Caenorhabditis elegans: one gene and its partner. The protein of the gene in region 2 purifies or fractionates together with the protein of the main gene of each other region. This does not show direct contact. Each region holds a gene or a part of one and is shown on either strand. Other genes may lie near its edges.

What was found. The genes of interacting proteins can lie anywhere in the genome.
Region 1: the proteins of blmp-1 (region 2) and dre-1 purify together in Caenorhabditis elegans (affinity purification with western blotting; 2 studies listed by BioGRID). This does not show direct contact.

The regions. Positions count from the first base shown.
Region 1 is NC_003283.11:6,543,454-6,548,829, reverse strand, and holds the start of dre-1 (F-box domain-containing protein), read left to right. Parts: upstream 1-2,338; coding exon 2,339-2,468; intron 2,469-5,058; exon of another isoform or gene 5,059-5,264; intron 5,265-5,376. UniProt on the Caenorhabditis elegans protein: Substrate recognition component of a SCF (SKP1-CUL1-F-box protein) E3 ubiquitin-protein ligase complex which mediates the ubiquitination and subsequent proteasomal degradation of target proteins including blmp-1.
Region 2 is NC_003279.8:10,407,393-10,415,345, reverse strand, and holds blmp-1 (B lymphocyte-induced maturation protein 1 homolog), read right to left. Parts: upstream 6,045-7,953; 5' UTR 5,988-6,044; coding exon 5,810-5,987; intron 5,477-5,809; coding exon 5,382-5,476; intron 5,121-5,381; coding exon 4,253-5,120; intron 3,743-4,252; coding exon 3,396-3,742; intron 3,014-3,395; coding exon 2,919-3,013; intron 2,869-2,918; coding exon 2,400-2,868; intron 1,985-2,399; coding exon 1,937-1,984; intron 1,854-1,936; coding exon 1,500-1,853; 3' UTR 573-1,499; downstream 1-572. UniProt on the Caenorhabditis elegans protein: Transcription factor which binds to enhancer elements in the promoter region of genes. Regulates the expression of the transcription factor bed-3 to control vulval development.

The DNA of each region.
Region 1 (5,376 bases), on a different chromosome or scaffold from region 2:
ATAGTTTTATTTGAATATTCAAATCAAAACATAACATTTTGAAACTAAAGAGCGCAGTTCACCCAGTTGATAACCCTCTTTGGTTATAATTCCAATATTAGCTTGTGGTTACGTCACAATTCTTGAAACATCGGAGGTTTCGGTGAGTTTCAAAGTTCACCACCCTCTGTTTCTGCGTATCGCGATCTCGTGGGCTCTTCGAGCATCTCCCAAAAATAGTAGAGACGATATACAACAATCTGTGCGGTCAGCAGAAAGAGAAAGAGAGAGAAAAAACGTGCGTGTGTCCGAAATGCAAATATAAAATTGTATTGGAAGGAAGAAGCGAACGTACTGTTGTGTTCCGCGATTGCTCCGCGCGCCGCGCCCTTTTGATACTCATCTTTTCTTCCAATTCCGGAGACTCCCACTTTTTGTAATTTGAAAGAAACACACATAAGACGCGCTTGACCCCTGTCAATTTAGAAGATATGCATCTTTTAGATGAAGGAACAAAAAACCCGCGAAAACGTGGTGTGAATTATTTAAAACTCTTTTTCTCCCCCTCTCATTTCTTCACTCTTTTTCTTCCCAAATCCGTCCGGTTTCCATTTCGCCGTACGTTGACGGTGGTGAACGGTGGAGAGACTTGTTCAGTGTTCTAGATTATATGGTTCGATAAAAAGTACAGTTTTGAATACTTTCCTGTTTTCCATGTATATTTATCTTTTTTGGAATGACACTTTTACCGAATTTGACACCTTCGGATTCTGGTTTTGATGTATTCAAAGTTTAATTACAGTTTTTCTGATTTTCCTTGCCCGGCAAAGTTTGAGTTTTTATTCCAACAATAATTCCAGCAAATGATACTCTTTTCTTGAAACTGGAAAAAAAATCTTGGAAGCTTGTTGAAAAGCTATATAACTCAAGCCTTTTAATTTTTGCCGACTATCGAGTTTTCTGAAATTTTCCTTTCCTCACAATCAGTGGTAACATTTTGAAATAAATGTACGCTAGGTTAAAAAAATATTTTTTGAAATTGAAAAACGTAAAACTTACCATAAGGCCCATTTGTGAAGTGGCAGCAAAAAAATGTTGTGCTATTTACCAGACAATATGCTGCAAAATGCAACAAAAAAAATCAATTACATAATTGATTTCAATTAAAGCGATTTCATTGAACGAGCATATTTTTCCTTTTGCGACCACATGTTTTGAATAAAAATCATTTATTGAATTTAATTGTCAATAAACATTAAATAGTTGTGTCCAGAAGCCATGCTATTACCCATAAGCAAAATTTCACGATTTTTAGCCAACAATAAAGTGCCCGGTCTCGACACAACAAATTTTTGTCAAAAGCGAGAAGGTGTACTGTGATTCAAACTCTCTTTTCTACACAGTTATCATCGATTTTTCATAATTTTTCGTTGAAATTTTTAGACCGAGTACCGTAGCATCGAAAATACTATGATTAGAAATCTGAATTATTCCAATTTCAAATGAGAATTCTAATGCTCTAAACCTGCTCCATAAGCTCATCTACTCCCCCGTAAATTGAATATTTTTCTTATTTTTTTAAAAAATAAGAAAACGAATGTAATAATCCTGACACCACATTGCCGACTGCACAACCGAATCAAATATTTTATTCCTCTCTTCTTTTCTTCTTTGAAGAGCTCATCATCTCCTACATATTTCCTTCCTCTGACGTCTCCAAGTAGAAAAAAAAAGAGTTTGCCTTCTTTTCCCAAGAAGTTTTCTTCCAACTTTTCTCCCATTTCTCATTACTTTTTCTATCGGCTCGTCATCATTTGACGACCCCAACTTATCAATGAATTTAACACTGATAAATGCATTTCCACGTCGTTCCTCGGTTTTCCATTTCATTTTTCTTCGTTTTCTCGTGACTTATAAGCAATGTTTTAGGGAATTAGGGAATGTCATCCTTGAAGGTTTCCAGAATAAAAACTGTCTAGTTTTAGATTATATCATAATTTGAACTGTAGAAAAAATTTCCAAATATCTACTTAATTTACAGAAGTTATCTGGGACACTCTCCACGTTAACAATAATCTCAAATAGATATACTCCGTTCCTCTAATTATTGAATTTTTTAAAAAACTAATTCTAAATGTTTACTCTTATATTATATTTTTTGGGAAATTGCAGTTTTTGCTTTGTTTGCTCTTTATTTCCCACAAAAACTATCATAAAAACTCTCTCTCTCTCTCACTATGCTTCATGAGATTGTTTTTAAAGTTTAAAGTTTTTTATTTGGAATTTAAATTTTTAATATTTTCACACACATTATATTTTTACACCTTGAAACGTCCGTAATCTTCAATAATTTCAGTTGATGGCGGAGGAAGAAGAAGTGTCGAGTGACGATGTGCTTATGGAATCGCGGCCTTCTCTCGTTTCAACGAGAGCCGCGCATCTTTCTCCAAAACTTCAGAGAAGAGGATCCTCATCTGCACGAAAATTCGGTAAGTATTTGAAGAAAACTAGGTCGGTGATGAAGGATACAGCGGTGTTCGATCATCGATCGTCATAAGCTTATCGTAGAGTGTATGTGTGACACTGACCTCTGTTGACCCGCCCGGTGGATTCAATTCTACTATCTGTCCGATGTATCCAATTTAATCTTCCGTTTCTCGTGATGTTTGTGTTGCTATTGACACTTTAAAAAATTAAAAAGATCAGACTAAAAATAGGAACAAGCAAATTTGATAATGATGAACATAAAAGTAAGAGCTCAAAAAATAATTTCTCCACGTTAATAACTTTTTCTCTAACTGTAACAGGAGTGCGCTCACTAAACTTTTTCGAATTTCCACCACGATTGTCTACTTTTAAAAAATGTCCTAAAAAGGTGGCAATCACATCTATGTTCAAAAAATCTCTAAAATAGCACAACTAGCAAGAAAAATATTTCAGCTCGTTTTTAGTTCCAGATGAAACTTATGTCTTTTAAATGTGAGTCTTGAAATATGTCATTACAAAACATTACAGTTCTTTGGCCTGAAAGAATTTTGCAAAGATTTTTGTCAAAAATTTTCAGAATGACCTTTTCTAATTCAATGTGCTCCTTTGTTGCCAATTTTTAAAAGTAACCTATTGCCAAGGCACTCTTTCAAATGATATAGGTTTTATTTAGAATTCTAAAAATATGCTGAAATACTTTCATGGGAGCTGGATTTTTTGCCCGAGCCTTTTGATGCATAGTGTTTTGCACTTTTTATTGTGAATTCTGCAATGTCACCTGATTAACTATTGTGGCGTTTGCTTATGGAAACCGGAGAAAACTAAAATTTCATTGAATGACGTAAGTCACATTTCAAATTTATTCTCACCTTTTCTGGAGTGCACAAAAAATTACATAGGCAATACACTTTTTTTCAAATTTGATGTCCTTTTTCTTTTTGTTTTTCAAAGCATATTTGAGCTATAAAACTTGACCCGAACCTATAAATTACCACTCATCATCGGGTTGTTATCTCGTGTCGGGTTCATCGCAATAACATACATGAAGAATATTGAAAGAAGGTCGTCTCTCGAGTCAGTGAGTGGTGTCTTCTAGTAGTGCACGCCCGGTACCACCACCGGTCAATGTGTTGTTGCCGTTGCCGACGACCATTTTCCGCGCATCTCATCATCTCCCCCTCCCATGGGCCACCTTCCACGTGTTGTCTGCGTACCCTCACCTTCGAAAGAAATGCCAACTGTGAATAACAATATCGTTATGTTGGAGAAAGGACAGGCCGGCACTGACATACACTCACACGCGAGATTTTCGTTAGATCACTTCGGAGTTGTCTGCGTGTTTTTCTTTTTATTTCTATGCTTTTGAGGTAATATGAGACATTTCAAAAAAAAAAATAGAGAATCATCAAAAAAGTGATGAAGAGAATTTGGCAGAGTGAATCGAAAAACTACTTCCGGCTTTTTCTTTTTTTCCCATCTATGTTTTCATTTTTAGTCAGCTGCTTTTATAGTTTTCGTATTTATATTTTTTGTGCTTTTCTTTTCTCTTGTAACCCCTTTAAACTTTTATCAGGACCGATGGAAAATAATTTTCAAACTGTCTGATTAAAATACTTTTTCTCAAATTATTTTCCTGTTGAAAAAAAGAAAGACTCGAGATTTTTTGGTAATATTATTTCCGATTTGATCAATAATCGGGAAAAAACTTTGAAAAAATGTTCCGTTGGAGACTCCCCATGAACATATTTTAAAAGTACATGTGGATTTAAAACAAGTTTGCAGGTTTTTGAAACACACATTTTGGAACTTTATTTTTAAAAACTCACAGTTAGCAAGAAATACAATTTGCAAATTTTTTCTGCAAGTATAAGATTTTTCTAAATTGGAAAAAAAATACCTGAAGCTGCAAAACTTTGCTGTCAGGTGATATTTTATTACCAAAAAGAAAAAAAAATCAAAAATGTTTGAGGAGTAATTTTTTAAAGTATTAAGAGAATTGAAAGAATTTTGTGAATATTAAACCATTTTCCCAGTTTTTTCGCAGTGAAAGCTGATAGTTTTAACGCCATCACATTCATTTTTTTTTAAAGTTTCTCGGCAAAATGGCCTAACTTCGTAGCATACTCTTGCAACTTCTTAACAACCATTAGGCATTTTAGCTTTTAAGCAAACTTCTGCAGCTTTTCAGACGACTTTTGCAATTTTTTAGCAGATGTAAAGCTAAATTTCGCTCACAATCCCGTTGGTTTTCGCAACTTCTTAACAGCTTTTTACAAAGTTATATGAATGTTTTTATTAAGTTGCAGGAGATTGCTATGAAGTTGCGACGTTTTGCCGAGTTGGAGTTAACATAATTTCTGATGTGTCTAGTTGGGTAGTTCAACTGGTCAACATCATTTTCATCCCTGTCATTCTCAAAAAACGGAGCACTACCCTTGATCTAACCTAACCCAAAAAAACTAAACAAACAGTGACCCTGGCACGGCTTGCTCCTAAAGCAAACCCATTGAGCTTCTCCCCAATTTTTTCACAGTTAGTTCTCCTTCTCGTCCCTTCTTTCTCAATTCCACAGCGTGACCATCATCACTAGCCCAATGGATCCACGCCCCATCTACATCATACAGGGGGCCGACGACACCGAATCCAGTTTCAATTCATGGCTATTGCTGACTGCTTCTTGCCCTCATTTTCCTCTTTGCTACATGCCACATTCTCTCACTCTATGTCCTCTTCGGTGTAGGCATCGTCTCCATCGTCGTACAGTTGGACGTTGATGACGATGAAGACTAGGGGCATTCAAAAACTGGCCAAAGGCATTGAATGATGAAGGACAAGAACACCTATATGCTTCTGTAAACATCGATGCTTTTGTAAATTTTATGTTTACGCACCTTTTGTCGCCTCCCCCAC
Region 2 (7,953 bases):
TACCGATTTGCCGGAAATTTCAATTCTGGCAACTTGCCGATTTGCCGATTTGCTGGAAATTTTCAATTTCGACAAATTCGGCACTTTGCCGGTTTGCCGATTTGCCGGAAATTTCAATTTCGGCAAATCGGGAAATTTCAATTCCGGCAAGCTGTCGGTTTGCCGATTTGCCGGAAGTTTCAATTCCGGCAAATCGGGAAATTTCAATTCCGGCAAGTTGCCGGTTTGCCGATTTGCCGGAAATTTTCAATTACGGCAAATCGGGAAATTTCAATTCCGGCAAGTTGCCGGTTTGCCGATTTGCCGGAAATTTTCAATTACGGCAAATCGGGAAATTTCAATTCCGTCAATTTGCCGATTTGCCGGAAATTTCAATTCTGGCAACTTACCGATTTGCCGATTTGCTGGAAATTTTCAATTTCGACAAATTCGGCACTTTGCCGGTTTGCCGATTTGCCGGAAATTTCAATTGTGGCAACTTACCGATTTGCCGTTTTTCCGGCAAATTTGGCACCTCACCGGTTTGCCGATTTGCCGGAAATTTTCGAGAAAATTAGTATGTATGTAATCCTATCAAGTTTTCAAAGTTTATATATATACATACAAAATTAGACAAGATATTGTTTTGAAAAAGTTAGAAAATAGAAACAACTTCTAGAAAGAAATTGCAAAAATATAATGAAAGTATGATCACAGATAGGTGTGTTGAAATGCCGGAAGATTTTGATGGAAATTGTTGAATAAAAAATAGAAAATTTTGACAGTGATAAGAATGAAAGGGGACTGATAAAGCAAGAGACAATGAGAGAATGAAAAGATAATATAGGTTTAGGCGGTGTATATGGAAGATTTCAAAAAAATAATTATATTAAATCTGATAATTTTGAGAAACGAACTATTTGAACTTTAACTCAGGTTCTTTGTGGAATTATTTGAATTTGAAGTTTTTGAATACAATTAATATTATGAGAGACTCGTTCTGGAATGGGAGGATGGAGAAAGGGGCAGGAAGGTGTAAGAACAATTTGAGATTTTGCGAAAAAAATTGATCTAATTGTTTTCTACCTGGCTTATAAACAAACTGGTAAAAGGGATCTGAAAATATTTGAGTAGCATAGTAAAAAATGAAAATGCTAAGATGCTGGAGAAGCAAGCAGGGGCTCTTGTGTAGGTATAAAATGCCTACACGCCTGCCTACAGGCACTCCAAAAACTGCTAATTTTGGTTAAATTATTTTTTCAATAAAAAATTAATGTTAAAATATAGAAAAATATCCGGATATAGAAATAAAATGAATTTTCGAACTTAACAAACATCTTTCTATATCTACATTCTCACATTAACTTTTTTCAGATGAAATTTGCGTTATTCTACCAAAATAGGCAGTGCTGTGAGGCACGCAGTGGAGGCATTAATTCCTACACAGAAGCTCAAGTACAAATGATATGACTGGATTGTGGGAGACGGGTAGTGTTTTCATAAAGTTATAAATATGATAATTATGGATAATGCGGCAATCCGAGGCTTGGAAGTAGGGGATTTTTCAAATCAGGAAGCCTATGAATCCCATTATGTTGTGGATGTTGCTGTTGACCAGATCCAGATGATGGACCTCCTTGAATAAGTTGATGTTGATGTGGAATACCTCCTCCATTCTGCATTCCACTATGATCCATTTGGAAATGTTGTGGAGGTGGTGGTGGCCCCTGAAGATGGGATCCTTGTCCCATATGTCCCATTGTGTTTCCATACATCATGTGTTGCTGCTGTTGAGATGTTGGTGGTGGAGCCTGTTGTTCTTGCATTCCACTTGGACCTTGACCGAGGAGGGAGGCGTTGGGAAGATTGTATTTCTGAAAATTGTAGGATGAGAATGGGAAAGTGAGATAAGAAATATTTATTTGTATGCATGATGAAGCCGAATATAAAAGCTTACACTATAAATGGTTTCGATTGGCATAAGTGGCCGCTTGAGTTCGGAGTTCTGAAAGCAGTGAAAATGTAAGCAGAAGCAAAGCTGTTGTTAGTAATTTACTTGATTTCTTCTAAAGCTCGAAAACTAAAACTCGAGCAAAAAAATTTATTCACGACCGTATTTCTTCTATTAGTCTTGCGCCCACTTACTCTACTTTGACATCTCATATCTCGGTCCACTAAAGATATTTTTCCAAATGTTTCACAAATTCAATATTTTCTCAGTTAGAAATTTTTCGATAAAACCATAGGCAACTAAGATATGAACTTACAAAGTTAGGAAAAGTGGGTCAATACTATTAGAGGAAACGTTGTCGACTTAAACTTGGACAGTATTAAAAATTTGATCAACTTTTTAAAACTTAGTTTCCATTTTGTAAAAAACGGCGGAACATGTATAACTCGATATAATCTTCATTACTTACCAGTGTATTTTCAAAGATTCCCAGATTTCCATAACCCGACCCTGACATTGATCCTTCATCGATTTCGCCTTTGATATCCATTAAATCATCCCTCATCGAGTCTTTCATATCCTCTTCTTTACATGTAGTTGTTTTCCAATGAGTTCTCAATCCACTCGGTGAAATATATTTCTTTCCACATGTTCCACAACTATACGGTCTTTCGTTTGCATGCAGACGTTTATGAAGTCTTAGATGAACGTATTGAGTGAACTTGGCATCACAAACATCACACGTATACGGCTTCTGACCATTGTGAAGTCGAAGATGAGTTTTTAAATTAGAAGTCGACGAGAATCGCTTATCACAAATATCACAGCGATGAGGACGTTCTCCGGTATGAACAAGATGATGCTTCTGAAGATGAGCAAGCTGTGTGAACTCTTTTGTGCAAATTTCACATTTGAATGGACGTTCGCCGGTGTGCGTTCTGAAATGTTGAAAGTAAAAAAATAATTGGAAAATAAGAAAAGTTCTAACCTGACATGAACTTTAAGATTCGAAAGCTGTCCGAATGTTTTGTTGCAGTCTTTGCAAGCGTATCTCGTTTTTCCATTTTCCTGTTGTTGCACGTACTGAAAAATTTTAATTTAAATTTATTTTCATGTAGAAAATATGAAAAGGAATAACTAGACATTTTACCAGGTCTAGGCGTGTGAATCGCCCTCCTTGCGCCCTGATTTGAAAAAGATTTACAAAAAAGCACCCGGTAATCAATTGATTTATGTATCAAAACTTTGCTAATTTTATTGGGATCAACATAGAAAAGGTAGAGATAAAAGGTAGAGATAAATAGAGGCAGGGTCAAAAATTATAAAAAATATATAATTTAAAAAAATTAAAAAATCTAGTATTAAACATTTAAATATCAACTGTTTTTTAAAAAGAATGTTTCAAAATATTTTCCCATCAACCATCAAGTTCAACAAATTAAAAATCTTCTTTGGTAAAACTTACATTTGGAACTCCATTAAATGATGAATCATTGTGTGATGAAGACGAATGATTAACAAATGGAAGTTGATGAAATGAAGAAGTATGGGCACTTCCACCCATTCCAAATCCTCCACCCATACCACCACCACCTCCGAATGCTGGAGACGCAGATGTGTACAGAGGTTTTGATAGCTCATGCTGGAAATCTTGACTCCCATAAATTGCTGCATAGTTTCCAAAATGAGCTCCTGCAGTTGCTGCAAGTACTGGCTGCACATCAATCGGCTGGCCGGATCTTCCACCAGTGGCAGTTATTGCGGCTGTTGTTTGAGCAACAGGGGACACAAACATTGAGGTATCAACTAGTTCTGAAATAGGGTTCAATTGTTTTCAGGACTTTTTAGGACGCCCCAGTTTGTTTTTAACTTAGCAGTTAACAGTAAGCTATAAAATTATGAATAAACATACAACATGTATTTTGAAAACTTTTCCGTTGATAAAACCACATCCGCACGGGATAAAAGCTGCCGAAAATCCGAAAACAGGTAGATCACTAATTAAAAAGTATAGTAAAGCATAAACAATTTGATAATTTAATTGATTGAGGAAACAATTTTAACAAACTGAAAATATTGTTAAACTTAAGTTGATGTGTTAAAAACAAAAAAAAAGTATACAAATGTATCTTGTTTGTCGACAGAAGCTTAATCCCCATCAAGGACATATGGCGTTTTTAGCTGTTTCTGATAAGTTTTGTTAACAAAATGTTAAGCAACTTTTTGCATCTCCAGTGAAAAAAACTTCAAAAAAAAGTGTTACATTTTCAAAATTTTCAATTTCAGCTTATCAGAGATTCAGAGTGGGATTAATAAACTCACTTAATTGAAGGGATTTCCTCATGAACTCTTTAAAATCCACCAACGGACTTGCATAAAAATTGCCAAGTCGAACGGGTATTCCCGGGAAATTATTGACTTTGGTTGCAACAGGCCTCACAACTGGATTCTGGATAACATTAGGCCGTGTGACTTCTGCAACAGGCCGTGTACAGCTCTCCTGCTCTTCAACATCAATCATTTCTTCGTCACTTGCAGAAGAAGCATCAGTAGAGAGTGTATCAATGGGTGATTCAATGAGTTTTTTAACTGAATAATCAATTGCCACAATTGTTTCTGCTAAACTCGCAATTGCAGTTGATGCAGAAGCTGGTGGTGCAGATGGAATCAGTTGAGTAGCTGGCCTTCGAACTCTTACGTATGGTCTTGTTGAATAATTTAATTTCCTTGCGTAGTCCCTGCTGAACCAAAATGATAATTCAGTATTTGCTTCAATCTTTTTAACTGTGTAAAAGTAGATATCATTTCCAATTTGTGCAGCAACAAGATTCTGAAAATCTTCCTCTTCAGCAGCTGCCACGTATTTCATCCAATTTGATCTCGCATCATCTTTCACACAAATCGTTTTATTCAATCTGCCACCTGATGGAGAATAGATCTTCCACTCTTCCGGAGCTTCATCAAATGGAACATCTTCTTGAGCTGGACCACCTCCAGCCATTGATGCTTCAGCAGGACATACAAGTGCTGTGTCAACATCTACCAAACGAATTTCTCCAACGAGCGGGCCAAATCGGACTCCTCTCGGAATATGATCAGATGACCATATTGACGATTTCTTTCGATTTTTTGAGGAGGACTTGAGAATTAGGTTCATAGGAAGTGTGCATTCTGCTCGCTTTGGATTTGGCTGAAAATAAATGGAATTAAAATTGAAATGGTTTTTTTCGATGTATATTAACTTTCTCATACTATTTTTGTAGTCCTGGCAAAAAAACGGTCGGCAAAAAAGCAACTTTTTAGTGCACATCTCAAACTTTCTATGGAACGTTTTGAACTTTCCAAATTTCTAGAGAACTTTTTGTTCCAAAACCATTTTTTTAGAGAAATATACATGTAGGCAGGCAGGCTCGGTTTTTAAAACTTTATAGACTATAAAATACGAACTCACCAAACTAACAGATTTGTCTGGAACATGAAATATACATAATTCGGCAAGATTCTCATCTCCCGACTGCTTCCAATCAGTTTCAACGTTTCTCGCACCTGAAATTAAAATGTTCATTGTATAAAATGACAGCTTCACAGTTTTTTCTTTCGGTTTAAATTTTGAAGTGATTGTTTTTTTTGTTTTCACTTTCATTTGTTCTTTTTTATATGGTGTCCACGTCTAGTTCAAGAGGGAAAAGAACATTTTGATGATAAGTGATAGCGCGGCGATGATAAGCTTGGCGGCATTGAAATTTGATAAGAAATCCGAAAAGGAAAAAAAAGAAGTGGAGGGAAGAAAAACGAATTTGGCTGATTCGATTTCTTCGCAAATGTAGATCACGGATGGCTGCCAAGGGGGCCGAGTTACAGTATCCTATCACAACTTACCTGACGCTGAAACTCCGGCAGGTGACGTGGATGATGGCGGTGTGGAAGATGATGACGTGGCAGATGAAGCAGAAGAAACGCCGACAGAAAGGGGAGAATGAGGTGGTGAGTGAGCTGCCGCAGCAGCCGAAGAGAACGGTGCCGGCGGAACACCGTCATCCCCACTTCCTTGACCCATTTTTTACAGGTTTTGTTTAAAATGAGATCGAAGGAAAAGAGAAGAGAGATTTATTTTCTGAAATTGAAAACATGATTCTGGTAAAATAAAAATAATTTTTGGCAAAAAGAAAGACAAATTAAAAGTGAACCAATTCAAATAAAAGTTTCAAAACAAGAGCGAGAGAGTAATAGAGCACGGAGAGGGAAAAGGCGAGGGCGAGAATCAGGAAAACGGCGCCGAAATTGTCAAAAAGACCTTGATAAGGAAGAACTCGAAGAATTGGGGTGAAATAGCTGGGTGACCGAGGAGAGTGCAGAGTTAAGAAGAGCAAAAAGGGAAAGTTGGTGATTACGGTAGGTGGGTTAGATGATGGGAGGTTGTGCAATAATAGATTAATGTTTTTTTTAAAGGAGGAACTTATTAAGGCGTCCGGGATGTGCGCCTGCCTACCTATCTTCAATACTGCCTACTGAAAAAGTCAACAAGAACTGAACGAAAACCTAAATTACAGAATATAAGAGGTAGACAGGCATAAGTCAGGCGTCAACGTCTCAAGAAAAATCTGAAGAGGCAGTAGTTCAATAGCTCAATTTTTTTCAATTCCAAGTTAATTTCAGAGTTGAGCTTCTGAATTGAAACTTTTTTAAGATGTCAAGGGAATACGGTATGCATATTGTCGATCCAACAAGTAACCTCGTTGCTCAACTTTCGCGGCTTATATCTCGGTTCTCTTTAGTTGTATCAAAAAACTGTCAACTATAAAAACATTTGCGGACTAATTTTCAATATTTCTGCAGTTGTGCAATTTCGGATATCTAAACAAAAAACCAAGATATTAGCTGAAAAGGTGAGCAGTCCGATTTAATACTAATATAGGGAATACCCTTAAAGACGGACTATGACTTGTGGGGATTTTGCATCAAATTGCTTTAGATACTCCCAATAATTCGTATTAAACAATAAAAACTAAAACAATTGGCTAAGTTTGAAAAAACTTAATTTTTTAATTTCAAGCCTACGGGAGTTGCTCAGGAATATGTGCCGGAGAACTGAAAACCAAACAAGTTCATTTGAAGATTGTTTTAATATTTCAGAAAAATTCAAGCTTGTTCACATAATTTTTGTTCATAAACCTCGAAAATTCCCATCACCGCGGGCACAAATTCCAGAGCTTGTATAAAAAACCTAAATTGGCAACTTTCAAAAAAAGTGACGGGTGAGAAAAAAAAGTTAAAAGTTTAGAAGAAAAAGAGCGAGGCGGGGTCAGATCTGTTTGTCTTTTTCATTTGAAACACGTGTGATTCAGAATTCAGAAAAGGAGCCGACAACTTTCAAACAAAAAAATGTGGGGATTTGGGAAAAGAATACGGTAGCTTGGCAAATATGAAATCAAATTTGAAATGTACTAAAAAAATTGTAAAGGAAGATCGTTCATAAAAAGGAGGAGATGAATAATAAGAGTTTGTACAAAAGGGGGAAAAGCGAGAAAATAGCTGCTGCTACTACTGTTGGATGGGACGAATTGGAAGCAAAGAGAGTGAGAGAATGGATTACGGTAGAAAAGGATAATAAATAGTATTGAAATTTCAGAGATGCAGAGTCACGGTCAGTCATGACGCCGCCCGAGAATTGTCGCTCGCGCGCGCGCAACGACCATTCATCCATGGATTCGGATTCGACGGTGGTCTTCTTCTCTTCCGAAGAGTGTGAGGTATGGCTGTACACAGCAAAGAGAGATCACTGATTGAAGAGAGGATCAGAGAATCAGAGAAAGGGACCGGTTTCCCCCCATTTGTTCGCGCACTCTCTTGCATAATGGACGCTGCTGGACGACGACGACGACGACACAGAGAGGCTTCTTCTTCCCCTTGAACCTGTTCTTGCATATCGGGCCTGTAGAGATCCGCCAAAGTGATTCGAGGAGAGGATCGTCTCTTTTAGCCAATGTTTGTTGGAAGAAGGAGAAAAGAAGGGAACGCGCCGT